Astyanax mexicanus: one gene and its partner. The protein of the gene in region 2 interacts with the protein of the main gene of each other region in a pairwise test. Links are inferred from orthologs where the notes say so. Each region holds a gene or a part of one and is shown on either strand. Other genes may lie near its edges.

Region 1 (7,794 bases), on a different chromosome or scaffold from region 2:
ACATTCTCATTTGTTAGACTTACTTTTACATAAACAAGCTTTTTTACAATTTATACTATGTATTTAGATGTTTAGATTATATTTTATGTATCAATAAAACACTTTTGCTGCAGACAAACAGTAAAATTGCTGTTTAAATACTAGTAGAACTGCAGTAGTGAAAAGTATTAAACTCTTTATGGAACCCTCTACTAAAACTCATAGCTATTCATTAAGAACAACTCTCGAGCCATAGATCTTCACAGTCCCTGAGTCTATAGCTTTAATTTCTGTTACAGTCAGTCTATAAATTATGTCTCAGTCAGCAGTGTTGTAGCTGGGTTGGCTTGTAGAGGTGAAAGATAATAGTAAATGCCATGACCTCTGAAACACAGTGAATTGTATTTGTAATCTTAATAACTGGCAACCTGAAGAAGTGTCTTAGCATATTTCTCAATACATGTCTCAGCTGTGATTAATAAACATCTGATACTTGAGCAATAATACTTGAGAGGGAGTGCTATAACGTGTAATATTGGCACTGCTTTGCTGCGGTCGTAGGCATGAGGCCACAGGCCGGCTAATAATGTCTTATTATAGTGTTTTATGTGTCTCATATTAAACTCCTCTCAGCCAATCACATTGCAGGGTCAGAACTAACTGTGGTATAATAGATATTTTAGTCTCAATGATTTGGTTCTTGGTCTTCACTGTTTTGTATCAGTTGAGGAAATCTTATCTTTTGGTTTTCTTTGGGCTACTGTAGCAGCCAGTCTCACCCGTCTTTGTTTTGTCTGATGGTGACAATGAGGAATTTTCAGACTGGGTTATCAGTGCCGGTTGAGAGGATGTGCTATGTCTTTATCAGTGTATCTCTCAAACACACATATTTTTTATTGTATTATTGTTTTAGGCTGATATTGGGGTGGGGGGATGAGTTAGTGTTTGGTTCGAGTTTAAAGGAAAACCCCATCTGGCTGAAGGCTTGGCAGTTCTCCTTGCCGTTCTTGGCAGACCTTGAGTCAAACAGCTATTTGCACCGTTACGACCTCTGATACACACCCAATTCTACTCTCAATAGGGGCCTAGCTTTAAAGATACTGTACTAATCGTTTTTTTCCGTATCATGTGCAAAAATTAGAATGTTGTCTTTGTCTTGTAGTTGTCTTCCTTGAGAGTTTTATATATTATTAAAATTGTTTAAACTGATCTCAAAAGTTACAAATCACAACTATTGCTACAGTTTTTTTATTTTGTTCTATTTCTATTTCATGTAACCATTAATTTAATCAGACAAGTCATTAAGAGGCACTTGTTTGTCGAAGAAATATTGCCTGGTGATATTTCTTCAGGCTTTAACCATCTATCTAAAGCTGAAATAAAGCAGAACCGTGATTAACCCATTTATTTATTTTTCTTAAGTAGTCAAAAGCAGTTCATGCACAGCAACACTGTACACTGTGGACAAGAAATAGGCCTAGTGCTGGATTACACTAATATTTTGCTGTATTAATATATGTTTTTTCTTAAAAGACAAAAATGTTATTGATAGATATGCTAATTCTTTGCCATATATACTGGTATTTACAGTAACTAGGGTTTAACAATATTTCTTACTCACTCCATCTGTTAAATGCTTTCAAACTTCAATCTCTAAGCAAAATACAAATAGTCAAATACAAATTGATGCAATTTAGAACATGACTTACTGTTATCTATAAACACAAAAAAATACAGGTTAGCCACAATCTGGACCTATTTAGAGCAGCCTAAAAGACATGTTGCGCATCTTCAATCTAAATGATACAGGTACACCTGCATGTACTGACAGCTGTAGTTTTAATATAGTTTATTAAATGTTGAAACAACATTGCAATATTAATGTTGATTCATCTTACAAAAATTGAAGCACAATTCAACTTTGATTCAACTGTGAAAAACAATGAAATGCAAAATAGAAAAAATACTTTTGTGTATGAAACGTTTTGCTGTATCTTCCCCATAAAATTAATCTTTAGAAGATTTCAAAAGAACCTCTGGACTAACTGTCTTTACTACTACTACTATCCAGAGAATGTTTTCTTAAGGAATTAATTATGACTTATTAATAGCATTAGTGAGATCAGGATGTCGAATGATTAATACCTTACTTTCTTCCCAGAACTTCAGTCACAAAAGTATTGAATGGAGCTCCATCATTACAGAGAACCCAATTCCACTTCTCTACAGCTCAGTGCCTCTACCTGGCATTGCATTAGCTATTAGGCATTAGGCCAATAGGTTCATTATTATCTATTACACAGAGTCATATTCTATTGGCAATTCTTCTTTACATGGACTAGTCAAGCTGTGTGAATGCATTTGCAAATCACTTTTTGTATATAGTTGTATAGTTTTATACAGTTATTATTTTAAAAGTTTTTTTTGTTTAGTATGTTTCAGGTTTAACTAAATGAAACTAAAGCTTAGTTAGCCAAACTAGGTGTTAAATGATAACTACAAATAATACTGGACTGTTAAAGTGACAAATTGACAATCATTCTACATTTTATTGGATAATCCTTTGGCATTATTACCCAGAAAAAAATCCTTAATAAATAAATAAATAAATAAAGAAAGAAAGATTCTGAGAGTACTCCAATGCCTACATATCTCCAATAGCACAATCAAATAAATCACGTCTACTGATAATTGTCATTCCAAAACTTCTAGCAACAAATGCATAATCAATATTCATATGTCTATCATGTTGGTGGTTAAAGCATCCCTACAGGTGATTGGGAAGCAAGGTGTTAATGAAGCTCCTGATCCACACGTGATCCTCTTTTTCACCCAGCCATCCTCCTCTGAGGTGAATGTGAGAGTGACCTGAGATCAGTGTTCTTCACTCACGCTCTGCTTCACAGATTGCTTTCACAACAAGCGCGCTGAAGAAATGGGTTTTTGCTGCTTGTTTTTATTTGTTGTTAATGGTTGACACACAGGCAGCTCTTAAAGAAGTGGAGTGCAGTCCTGTCGCCCATAAAAAAACTTGGCCCATTATACATTTCACCATTATAATGAAAACATGTCCCGTTGCGTCACGGCGCAGATTTATGCGCAGGTTTATGATTAAATTAATTGGCGCCTTTGATTAGCAGCCTATGTCTGATAATAAAATATTTTTTGGTGTCTGTCCTATCAGACCTGTAATCTAACAAGTGTTCACAATTTGTTTGTTTTTATTCTACGTGATCACTGCGCCTCTGGAATGCTAAAGATTAGTAAATAAAATACCGCAAATCTTATTTGAAGAATTTGATTAAAGCTAATCGTACACATTTATGATAAGTGTCCTGTTTGGGTTTCTACTCCACCAAAACAATGTGGTCAGATTGTCGACCGTACAACTATTAATCAAGAGTCGATTTTTTTTAGCACGCGCAACATAACAAAATAACAAAAACTTAAGTACTAAGTATCACCTAATGTTTTTCTAATATTTTTTGCTGATTTAACTTTAAACTTATTGTTGCTCAGATTTTTGGTAAGGTTTCTTTTTGCAAGACAAGCTTGATAAAAATATTAATTTAGCTTGTGTAAGTCAGATTTTGACATTTCGTTGACTTCAAAAAAATAAATAAGATAATTAAACCAGTACTGAAAACAAGCTTAATGAACAAACGAATGAAAGAATACATAAAAACTTTTTGTACGATTGCTTCTTATTTTCTGTATAACATATCGGATAGATGAAACGTGTATTATTTCAAGCAGGCTCAGGTTCAACGAATGTTACGTTCGTGTAAATGTATGCAAAAGCGATGCTCACAAAAGTAAATGTTCGCCATTATTCGCTTCCTTTTATTATTATTTTTTTTCCATATTTATTTTAAAATCAAATGCCCAAACTAATCAGTTATTTGTATTGCATAATACAAAGTCATAGACTTAGTCAAAGACTTATTTAGTCAAGGTCATTCGTCCTTCGTAAATTCGTAAAATTTAATAGACAGCGTTTAACATCTAATTGGAGTCAGATTGAATCAGGCATTTAACAGGATAAAGGTAAAAATGATTTTTATAAATATATATTGTGAGTAATATTTTTGATACGGTTTTGTCATTTTGACAAACTCTGTGTATTTTATATAATTTCAAATATGTCATGAATGGCATTCATCTATTTATACAATTGTGTATTATACTATTATTATTTATTGTATTATTATTACTACTACTACTAGTAGTATTAGTAGTAGTAGTAATAAAAGTATTATTTTTGGTTAATATACTCCTTTAGTATAGGCTCTTGGCGACATTGCGAAGTTTTAAATTATGATGTTCTAGTATTTGTTTAGTTTTTTACTTCTTTTATCATTATTGTTATTATTATTATTATTATTGTTGGTGGTGCTATTATTACCCTCCCCCTTTCAAAACAGTCTGAATCTGACAAAGTCCAAAGTTCACCAGAAAGTCGCTGATAACGGAGACCAATAAAAGCGTTCCAGCTACAGAGCAAACACGCTGAGCCGCTCATTTACATAAAGACTCCGAATACCGGCCAGCCCACTCATTAACATCGGCCTCCAGTTCATTACACACCTGTATTCCGTCAAGACCACGCCCCCTTCGGAGGGATTGGCTGCTAGTCTCGCGCCTTCAGCGTTGTTGAGATTGAGTCCTCGCGAGCGGTCTCGGGTTGAGGGTGGATGTAGTTTTACGCATTGGCCAAGCGCGTAAAAGCACTGACCGAGGGGGGCGTGGCCTCGCCGGAAAACGGGCGGGGAGAAAAAGACGAAAAGCTGTCCGCTGTTTTTAGACGACATCATGGCAAAGTTAGAGGAGCGAGGCTTTTTGGAAGAAGCAGGTGTGCGCGCTGGGGCTATCGCTTCAGCCCTGGAGGTTCTCGCCCTCCGCCTTCTTTCTTTTTTCTCTTATTTTTCTTAGCTTTATTTTTTTATTCACTCTTTTCTTGGATGTTGGGGAGGATGGTGTCTAAGCTGACCTCTCTGCAGCAGGAGCTCCTCAGCGCCCTGTTGGACTCCGGAGTGACCCGGGAGGTTCTGGTCCAGGCGCTGGACGACATGGACCCCCGGCCGGCCACTCTGGGGGTGAAGCTGGAGGGGAGCGTTCAGACGTCTCCGATGAGCGGCGACGGGGACTCGCACAAGCCGGTGTTTCACACGCTCTCTAACGGGCACGGCAGGGGGAAACTCTCCGGGGACGAGGGCTCGGAGGACGGGGACGATTATGACACGCCGCCCATCCTGAAGGAGCTTCAGGCGCTCAACACGGAGGAGGCGGCCGAGCAGCGGGCAGAAGTGGAGCGGATGCTAGCGTAAGTGATTTACAGTGACTGGAAAAATTGGTCAAAATTAATATTTAATATTTACTGTCCGAAATCATACAAATCCACAGCGTATGATTTACGATTTTATTTTAAAATTATATTTGTGTCTCTAAATAAAAAGAGTAAATAAGTTAAATTTAAATGAATGATGTAATGGAAAAATAACATAGCAAAGAATATAGAAAAAGTTAGGCCAATAGCAAACCTAAAACTACTGAGCTGCCTGTCCCCTACATTTTTAATTTAATTGCTGGTTTTGTCAGAATAATTCGTTTAGTGAAAGAAACGTCAATTTTCTATTTAATAATCTAAGTATATCAATACTAAACATTTACACCTGAAAAAAGCCAACTGTACAAATACGTTTTGCAACAAAAAGTTTATTGGACATAAAAGATTTAACAAAGACATTCTAATATAACTTAATTAACTGTGTGAAACGTGTTCTAAATGGAAGGGCAAATCACCATTAACCTTATCACTGTTACCGTAAGGTCCTGTCATCCATTTGTTAATTATCGTGTCTTCTCAATAGCAATTATTTTTCTCCTCTAAATGTGAACTTTAGGAAAAACTGTTCAGCTGGTTCTGGATTAATGTTAAGAGATAAGAAAAAAAAAACGCGCCGCGGTAAATACAAAAAGCTGACAAAAGAAAAATTCGTGTCTAAAATGAAAGCTAAAGACGAAAATTAGATGTTTTATATTTCTGACAGAGCTGAAGTTGCCAGGTGGTGTTTACAAATTTAAAACCCCGCGCCACGATTTCATCTTTTCGCTTTCTGGTTACTAATTATCTACTCGGGTTATTATTTCTTTAGCTTGAAGAAATATGAAGTGAAGAAGCTCCATTTATCATTAACTATGGCAGCGCAATGGAGACTACATTTAAATAATATGTGTTCTTCCAAAAACTATACAAAATAATATTGTTAGATAGTTACTTGCTAAAAGATAGTAATAATAATAATAATAATAATAATAATAATAATAATAATAATAATAATAATAATAATAATAATAGCACCAGTACATTCCATCAGTGTAACTTAAGCTAAAGTATACTTATGTTTAATTTCATAATAATACCCACTTTCACTTCTTTTTTTTACTTCTAACCCAGCATAAACAAATGCAGTTTAAAAACCCAAACTAAAGCACGTGGAGTTGAGTTATTATTAATTTTATTCTATAAATCATCAACTGAAAGATACACAGTGGCGTGTGATTAGTGTGAATGGAGGTTCTGGTTATTCATTGGTGAAAGCCATAATCCAGGTTCTCTGCTCTTTCTCTCCAAACCAAACACTCGACTCTCCTTCAGGTTACACACATCAACCTAACACTGCGGTAAGTCCAGATACAAATATACGAATAATATTTATCGTGTTTACTGCCGTTTACAATTGTAATCGCCTTTCCGAACGCGGTTCAACATCTTGCGTAAAACCGAATAGTTATTTTTATTTAGTCAAAGCGATTTTAATACGTATTAATGAAAAAGGAAAATATGTTATCTGATTTATTTAACTAGTTTTTTTTATTTATTTTGTATTTAATTCAGTATTGAATTGAGTCTTTTAATTAAAGACGGCGCTACCACTTAAACAAATTCAAAGTTTTTATTTGAAATTATTTTGTACTTATTTTTTAACATACATAAAAAAAAAACAAAAGAAAAATACGGGAAGTGATTTCATGAGTTGTTTTTATTTTATTGTATTAATTTTATGTGTTCATTGTTTTCATTTTATTATGTCTCAGTCTTCAAAAACATCTGTCCTTTTTCAAAGATCGCTCTAGCTCTAAAGGTATTCTATAAACGTTAGTTTTTAATTAGATCAGACAGGGCTGAACTGAAGCCTGTAACCTTTGGAAGTCTTTAGAGCCGTTGATTAACTTTCATTTATTGGCGGGATCAACAACTACATGAGCATGAAAGAAATAGAGATATAAAAATATATCGGAAATATATCGGAACCCATCCCATACTGATAACATGAGGTTCAACAGCATGTCCTGTTTACCTAATCAGTTATTTCACCCAGCAGTTTTTTTTATTTATTCGCATGCGTTTGATAAATTAAATTGTTATTTTTCTTAAATATCCATTTAAATGATTTCCCACAATAAGAATAACAACCATAGCATCAACCCCACACAGAATCTTAATTTCGGGAAAAGACAAAATACTCTTTTTTCACACTCTGATCTGGACTCACAAAAACAAACAAACGAAAATCGATGCCACATTAGTTTTATCGGTAGTAAGACAAAAAAAGAAAAGAAACTAGAAATACGAAACGTAATTCAAACTTTCAATAAATATTAATAAAACTGAGAAGTATTACAATAGAAAAATGCTTTTCTCATATCAAGTGAATTAAAAACAGTTCTTGGACCTTGTATGGCCTATATAATATAAATCAATTTTATAACGTAAACATACACTGTAACACTCTATTAAAGGACGCATTCAGG
Region 2 (7,762 bases):
CTTAAAATAATATTTTAGTAAGGTTTCTGTGTGATAGCAAAAACATAAAACATACATTATTAAAAATTTTGATTAATCAAAAATCTTCAAAAAAATCAGAAGAATGAAAAAATATATAATTTAGTCAAGTACACCTGGAACCTCTCCATAGGTTTACAAAATCGCCAAACAATTTAAAAGTTTCAGATTCTGTCAAATGAGATACAAGGTTTTTGTGTGACATCAAGAACTTATTTATTATACATATAGTGCATGAAAAAAAATAATTTACTTTCTGAATAAATAGTAATTTCACAGGTTCACTCACCTGGTTAAAGTCTTTAAAAATGAACTCTTTATAAATGGCGTCTCTACCCACCACTTCCACCCACTGGGCACTGCGCATCATGGGCAGGAGCTGCTCCCTCTCTTCCATTGTCAGAGTCTGAATTTTACCAGCCTGAGGAGACACAGCAGTACAGCAGACACACAATTAAAGCTCTTCTTTATTCAGTAACTTTCTCTGAATATCTGAGCTAAATTTGCAGTAATTGACCAAACAGTTCAGAAAAAATAATTTTATGCAAGAAAAAAGTGTATTCATTTTAGCATATTAAAAAAAACTACAATTAATACAAATGTGCATGAAATTAATATATATTATGATGATTATGTGCATTACTTTACATGTTCTACACATACAGTTCAACAGATACAACTCCAATAGCAATGCAAGACACTAACAAACACAGTGTAGGGGGCTGCTTCAGATATAAGGGCTGCGATTGGCTGTCGTGAACCCCATCTGGAAGCAATGATGACTTGCATTTTCAGTTTTATAAGAGAGACTGGACCACGTTTCTGTGTGGGTAACACTGAGCCATTTAAACCTCCTCTTCCAACCAGCCAATAAGAATCTCAGAAGATCACATGAGTTCCATTCACACTTAATCCTACATCCAAATGCCTTCAGAGGACATAGGAGTTTTTTGGATTTTTAATAAAAACAAATGGGAATATTCCATCATTTTTATTATGCCAAAGTAGTATTGCACATGATAAGTATATACAAACAACACTCTATACTTTACGTACCTCAATATTTTAATGAAGTTATCAGTAAGTTTTTTACCTTGTATGTTGTCACAGTGTTAGAGGAAGAGCTCCAGCTTCTGCTGGTTTTAGGTGATCTAAGCTGGTATGTTATGATCATGTTGGTTGAAACATTGGTTATCGATTAGGTTTTGGTCATGCTGGGAATTATGATCGACCAACGTGGTCTTGCTTGTTATGCTGGTTGACCAGCATGGTCAACCAGCGTGATTAAACTTGATCTTACTGGTTATCTAGCTTGTTCAGGTTGCATATGCTTGCAGTCTGGCTCAGCCATCAATCTCAAATTAACATTTTCTGACTTCACATGTGTCAGAGGAAGCATGTGCTAGTCTTCAGTGTGTTGTGGTGTCACTAGTAAGTGATAAATACAGCTGACTAAAAAATAGGAGAACATTTGAAATAAAATCTATAAAAAAAAACTTAACTTAAATGATCATAACATACAATTGAAAGAAAAATGTAGTCTACAACTATGCTTTATGCCTGTCTGGGAAACTGACCCCAAAGATTATCCTTTTTTTTAATAAACTACTTTTTGTTTAATGATATAAGATGAGCAGTGGGGCAGCTCAGTAGAAACCTAGATGATAAATGTAAAATACATATACAATTAATATATACAGCTCTGAAAAAAAAATAGAGACCGCTCAAAAATGATGGGTTACTTTAATTTTACTAAATTAAAAACATCTGGAATATAATCAAGAGGAAGATGGATGAACACAAGCCATCAAACCAAGCTGAACTGCTTCATTTCTTGCAGCAGAAGTGGCATAAAGTTATCCAAAAGCAGTGTGTAAGACTGGTGTAGGGAGAACATGCCAAGATGCATGAAAACTGTGATTAAAAACCAGAGTTATTCCACCAAATATTGATTTCTAAACTCTTAAAACTTTATGAATATGAACTTGTTTTCTTTGCATTATTTGAGGTCTTATTAAAGCTCTGCATCATTTTTATTATTTTAGCCATTTCTTATTTTCTGCAAATAACTGCTCTAAATGACAATATTTTCATGGAACAAAATGTTGTCTGTAGTTTACAGAATAAAACAATGTTCATTTTACTCAAACTATAGACTGTCTCTGACTCAAACATATACATATAAATCAAAGAAACTGAAGTGGTCTCTTATTTTTTTTCCAGAGCTGTACACACGTATTATAATATAAAGCATTTTCCCCATGTAGCTACAGCAACAATGAATTATATTATATACCCTATAAACAACATATTGTTTTTTTCTATGTGTACCCTCAGAGTATTGCGTCACACATTAAACAGATGTCTCAGTGAAGCGACCAGACTGATAACAGACTGATAAGACTGACTGACATCAACAGGTCTCCTAGCAACAGGTTAATCTGCCCCCCGCCCACTCAAGCATAAAGCTTTACCACCCGGCACAAAAGACAACAGCACTAGGGACAGCGCGAGCAGAGGAGCCAATAAACAAGGTTTAAATGAAGGTTTCTACATAGCAATTAAATTACTTTTAGTTACTACTAGTTTATTCTTTTTTCTTTACATAAAAATGTAGCCAAATGTAGAAACCAGTAACGTATAAAAGAAAAACACTGACTGACACTGTTAGTCAGTGAAGCATTGTCCAGTTTACAATGGGAAGCTATCTAAATATTCTATTATATTAAAAAAACTCTTGTCTAATGTGAAATACAGACAGCAAGTCTAACTACAGCTGCACACAGCAAAGTAAAAACAGCAACAATCTGCTGCAATCTAGAAAACAGCACATTAAGCACACCCTGCTTATCATATTATCTGTAATCTAAACTAATAAAATCACAGAGCCTGAGCTCTACAGTCCTACCATATCGTGGTGCTGTGCTCTTGCCTCTCTCCTCCTCTGATACTGAATCAAAGTGGCAGAGTCAGCAGCTGGAATTCATCCTAAGGCCCAAAGTACATTAGCTGCCCCAGAAGAAGCCTGAGCAAAATACTACAGCTAAACAAACACAGGTGCTAGTGGTGGTTTTTCATTTTAACCCCCTTTTTTAAAATAGAATTTCCAAAATAGTGTATAAAGAGACTTGTTTAAAAGTAAAGAAATGATACATTAAAATAAATTTTGCAATAGTAATGACGTAAATGTAATTTTTTACTTTGCTACTTAACACATAAGAGCCCAGACCCATTTCTGAATACTGATGCCAAATTGAATCTGATAAATGCAGTGAGCGTCTATTTCATGTTTTTTTCTTATTGTGGGAACATGACTGTAAATATTTTATTGTATTTTTTAAAATAATTTTACTTCTAATTGTTTTCCCATTTTCTCCCCAATTTACACGGCCAATAACCCAATCCACTCATTAGGACCCCTATCTCTAGTGATGCCCCAACACCAGGAGGATGAAGACTAGCACATGCCTCCTCTGATACATGTGAATTCAGCCACCACCTCTTTTCGTACTGCTGCTGATGCAGCGTTGCCGAGTAGCATTACAGAATGCTTGGAGGAAAGCACGGCGTCTCAGTTTCCGATAAATCAGCTCACAGACGCCTTGTGCTGATCGACATCATCCTTTGGAGTGATGTGGGGAGAGAGCACCATCTATCCACCCAGAGAGAGAGCAGGGCCAATTGTGCTCTCTCAGGGCTCCAGTAGGCAATGGCAAGCTACATGATGAGGATTCAAACTGTCGATCTCCCGATCGTAGTGACAGCGCTTAGCCCGATGGACCACTCAGAGCCGACTGTAAATTTTTAAAGGTAAAAATATTGATGTAACATAAATGACACAACAACAGTTTCATAACTTGTAAACAAACATTTTATTAGGTTGTTTTAGTAATCGTATCAGTACTAATTATATGGAAGGTAAAATATTTCATTAAAGTTTTTGAATTGTTAATCTGGTTGGAACCAAGTAAAACCAAAAAAAAGTAGTACACTTTTAAAAGTAGCTACGTTTATTTCAAGCACCAAACAGCACTCCTACATTCTGTAAATAAGGTCAGAGGAACAAACACACATTTACACACTGTCCTGTAGTGATGCTCTCAGGATGTTCTGTATATGTCACTAAGGAGCTTCATGAGTTAAGATATAAAAAATGTGCTGTGACAAACTTAACACATCTTTTTTTCCACATGGCCTCTTTTGGGTAAAGTTATTTTTTACATATACATGTATAAGTGTTTCCAACTATGGTGACTTTTTTAACTCCATTACAAATATCTTACATTTTATTCCACTACATAATAAGACATCTGTCTTTTTTTTTGTCTGTGTGAATTAAGAAAATATAAGATAAGAAAAACATAAGAAAATACAAGAAAAAAAATTATACTTAACTAAATACTGTAACTTATCACAACACAACACAAAAGACACTAAACCAAACACACCACTAAGGGTGCAGCATACACTTTGTTTTGAACTTGTTTTGACCTTTTTATCTTCAAAAAAGACATATTTCATAGCGACTTGTTTCTATCTAATTGTTTGCCTTTAGTGTTTTGATAAATATACTTTTATACTGATATATGCATATCAGACAGAAATACTCATATAGTTTATCTAATATAAGTTGACTGGTTGCATGGTTTGGGTACTTTGTCTGCCACTGCACCAGTAAATCAATGTATAGAGCTTATGTTACATTAGACTGTGCCTGCACATTCCCTGCGTGGGAATGGTAGTAAAGCTCCAAAGCTGATCCCACGGTTTTCATGCTTGACTGATTGCTAGGCTTAGTGAAGCAGAGGCAAATTAACACCCTGTGAATTTAAGGTAATCATCTCAAGAGTAGGCCTACCCTTTTAAAGCAATTCATTATCCTACAGGAGTAGTGATTAAGTAGAAAAGAGTGAATACGGTAGAAAGGTAACCCCTCCTGTCCTTTCTCTGGGATTTTACTTGAGTATGCTCACTTAGAGGAACAGGTTTCATCAGGATATGTTCATGTTCAGGTGTGCATGTTTTAGTGTGTATGTCTGTATGCCCTTATAAGGATTCCTTCTGAGTCAATGCCCCTGATTCAATGGCACTTAAATGCAGTCATTTAAGTGGAAGTTGTTTCCGGTTGAGAGTATGCTATACGCAATAGTAAACTAAAACAACAATACATCAAATATATTCAGATATTTTTTTTACATATATTACACAATGTAAAAAAAGTACAATGTAATGTGTAGGCTGGATGTGTTGTGTTTTAATGTTTAACTTTCTGTTGTATCTGAAGTTAACATAATTCATTAAGTTAAAATTTCACAGGCCCTCAGTTACACTGAATTATTTAAACCAGCATCAATTAAATTTGTTCTTTTTTAAAAAAGCATACAACTAATAAAACATTTAATAAAATTGTTTTTTACTTTGAAAGAAAGTCTGTCAATGCAATTACACTATAAGGTTTGCTTTTAAATATGAAATACCGTAAATCAACTTTAACTGCTGAATATAAAAAAAAAAACAATATCTGCCTTGGCACATACGCTGTAGCTCGATGTGCACCTCTCCATAAATTAAACTACAGCACCGGCAGAATAGTAAAAGCAGATTTATGGATGTTTGTATGTATGTTAAACATAGCTCATTCAACCACACGGCTCCTCTTCTTTAAAAGCTGGTGGATATGTAAGCTAACTAGCTAACAGGTTAACCTAGTTAAGTAACCTAGGGTTAACTGTGAGGTGTCCTCACAATGTGCTCCCAAATAGCTGTAAATAATGTTTAACAGTCTGATAAACTGTTGGGTTTCCATATATAGCTACATTACGATCAGTGTTCACAGCAGTAGCTACCTCAGACTGCATTTATTGGATGCAACCAAAAAACAATAAAAATGACCTGCCTAGATATTCTAACACAAATGGGGTAGAAGCAAATTCTTGAAAGTGGACATGGCAGAACAAGGTGGATGCGTCTCTTGATAAAAGTTTTCTGAGAGCTTAAAATATCTTGGGGTACCTTAATACATGCAAGCCATTGTATTAAAAAAATACTTTGCTATGACACACCTTTAACTATTAGATAGATAGGCTCTGGGGATAAAGAATCTTCATCTCCTCAGTCTTCTATTAACTTATTTATTATCTATTAAGTGGGATTACTGGAAATAATGGGTACAGAGGCCAAGAGACTACAGACTTAAAGGAGCACAGCAGAAAAGCTACAGCATGATGGAACAGTGAGGTTTGTACATGTTCAGACATCTTCACAGATTCAGCCTGAATTAGACTCTAATCATCCACTTTAGGTTGAATGCTTCATCTTTATGTTAAGTCCTTTCATGCATTAGTGAAACCATAGAATACTTGCCTCTGTAAACACCCAGCATGTCTATCTCTGCTCTTTGAACTCTGTTTATATTCATTTGTGCCATAAACGTCTGCAGCAGAGTAAGCTACTACTGCTACCGACTATGGAGATCTACAGCCTGAGACGCATTTTCTGGGTTCTTATCCTCGTAATAGGACCGAACGTGACAGCTCTGAATTCAGGTAGCATAAGATTTACTGCTAGTATCTGTGTTAATATTAGGTATCTCCAAATAAGTATTGTATATTTGTTTGTATTGCTTATTTTAGTGCTTATCTTATTATGTATGTATTATGTGTGAACCCTTGACAATGTCTATAATTTTCTTTTGGTTTAAGTAAAAAGCAAAAAAAATATTTAATTATATTTAACATTTAATTGTTCCAAATGAGGACACAATTTGAACTATACACTGGACTATTTTTTTCTAGATTGTGTTATGGAGGGTTTGGGAGCCATGTATAGCTTTTCTCCTCCAGATGTCAGTGTTGATCTCTTTAAGTTTTACTGGCTGATCTGTTAACTATCATTTATCAAAGTTTTTTGAAAAAAGGCAGTTTAATTGCCCTAATATTTTAATGTCGGTGAAGATTTGTTGTAGATATTGAAGATATTATAGATGACAGATGCGTTATGCCCAAGACTAATTACTCATTAAATACAGTAATTATTTATTAATATTTCCAATAAAAGATTTTGCTGCCTGTAATAGTTAACACAGTTAGGGTTCCGTTTTATGGACAGAGGTTAAGCCTAGATATGGACTATGTTCCTTTGATTGAAATTGTCCATTCCAAATGCTGTCCAAGACTAGACTTCCCTGTCCCCACTGCCCCAATGTCTGCCAAATTATCACTTAAGAATAAAGGTAATACAAAATGATATTTAAATGATGCCACAGAAGAACACATTTTGGTTCCCATAATGTGTTACGGGATGTAAATTTGAAGAATCTTGGCTTGATGTAATGGTTCTTTACTTGTCAATTTAATGGCTTTTCACACCCACACATCTCTAATACAAACCAAAATAACATGCCCACAAGAGCCCTGTATGGGAAGCCCAACTGGAAGTCCACAGGTTCCTGGTCATATTAAGGTCAATGATGGGGGCAAAATGGGTTTACCATAGACCCCATCTGGGTTGTAAACTGCAAATGGGGCCTAGATTTGACCCATGTAAGATTAAGGGGGGCTGTAACAATGCACCTTTAGGAAGCCCAACTGTGTTAATAAATGTACAAAACCACTCAGAGCCCACCTAGAACCCACATAGCTAACATTCTACCTACGTTAGCCCAACATGAGCATTTTGGTGGCTGGAAACATTGGTTCTTTAAAGAAAGTGGTTCTTTACAGCATCTTACTAAAATAGCATTTCA

The links. The genes of interacting proteins can lie anywhere in the genome.
Region 1: the proteins of pcbd1 (region 2) and hnf1ba interact in binary tests that used the Homo sapiens proteins (3 or more experiments, as listed by UniProt). The link is inferred for Astyanax mexicanus from reciprocal best matches to the Homo sapiens genes PCBD1 and HNF1B.

Annotation. Positions count from the first base shown.
Region 1 is NC_064425.1:13,246,951-13,254,744, reverse strand, and holds the start of hnf1ba (hepatocyte nuclear factor 1-beta-A), read left to right. Parts: upstream 1-4,781; 5' UTR 4,782-4,940; coding exon 4,941-5,302; intron 5,303-6,573; exon of another isoform or gene 6,574-6,663; intron 6,664-7,794. UniProt on the Homo sapiens protein: Transcription factor that binds to the inverted palindrome 5'-GTTAATNATTAAC-3'. Binds to the FPC element in the cAMP regulatory unit of the PLAU gene. Transcriptional activity is increased by coactivator PCBD1.
Region 2 is NC_064414.1:37,559,009-37,566,770, forward strand, and holds the start of pcbd1 (pterin-4-alpha-carbinolamine dehydratase), read right to left. Parts: upstream 3,001-7,762; 5' UTR 2,930-3,000; coding exon 2,927-2,929; intron 440-2,926; coding exon 308-439; intron 1-307. Other genes in the region: si:dkey-192p21.6 (heparan-alpha-glucosaminide N-acetyltransferase), read left to right, coding at 6,485-6,563. UniProt on the Homo sapiens protein: Involved in tetrahydrobiopterin biosynthesis. Seems to both prevent the formation of 7-pterins and accelerate the formation of quinonoid-BH2. Coactivator for HNF1A-dependent transcription.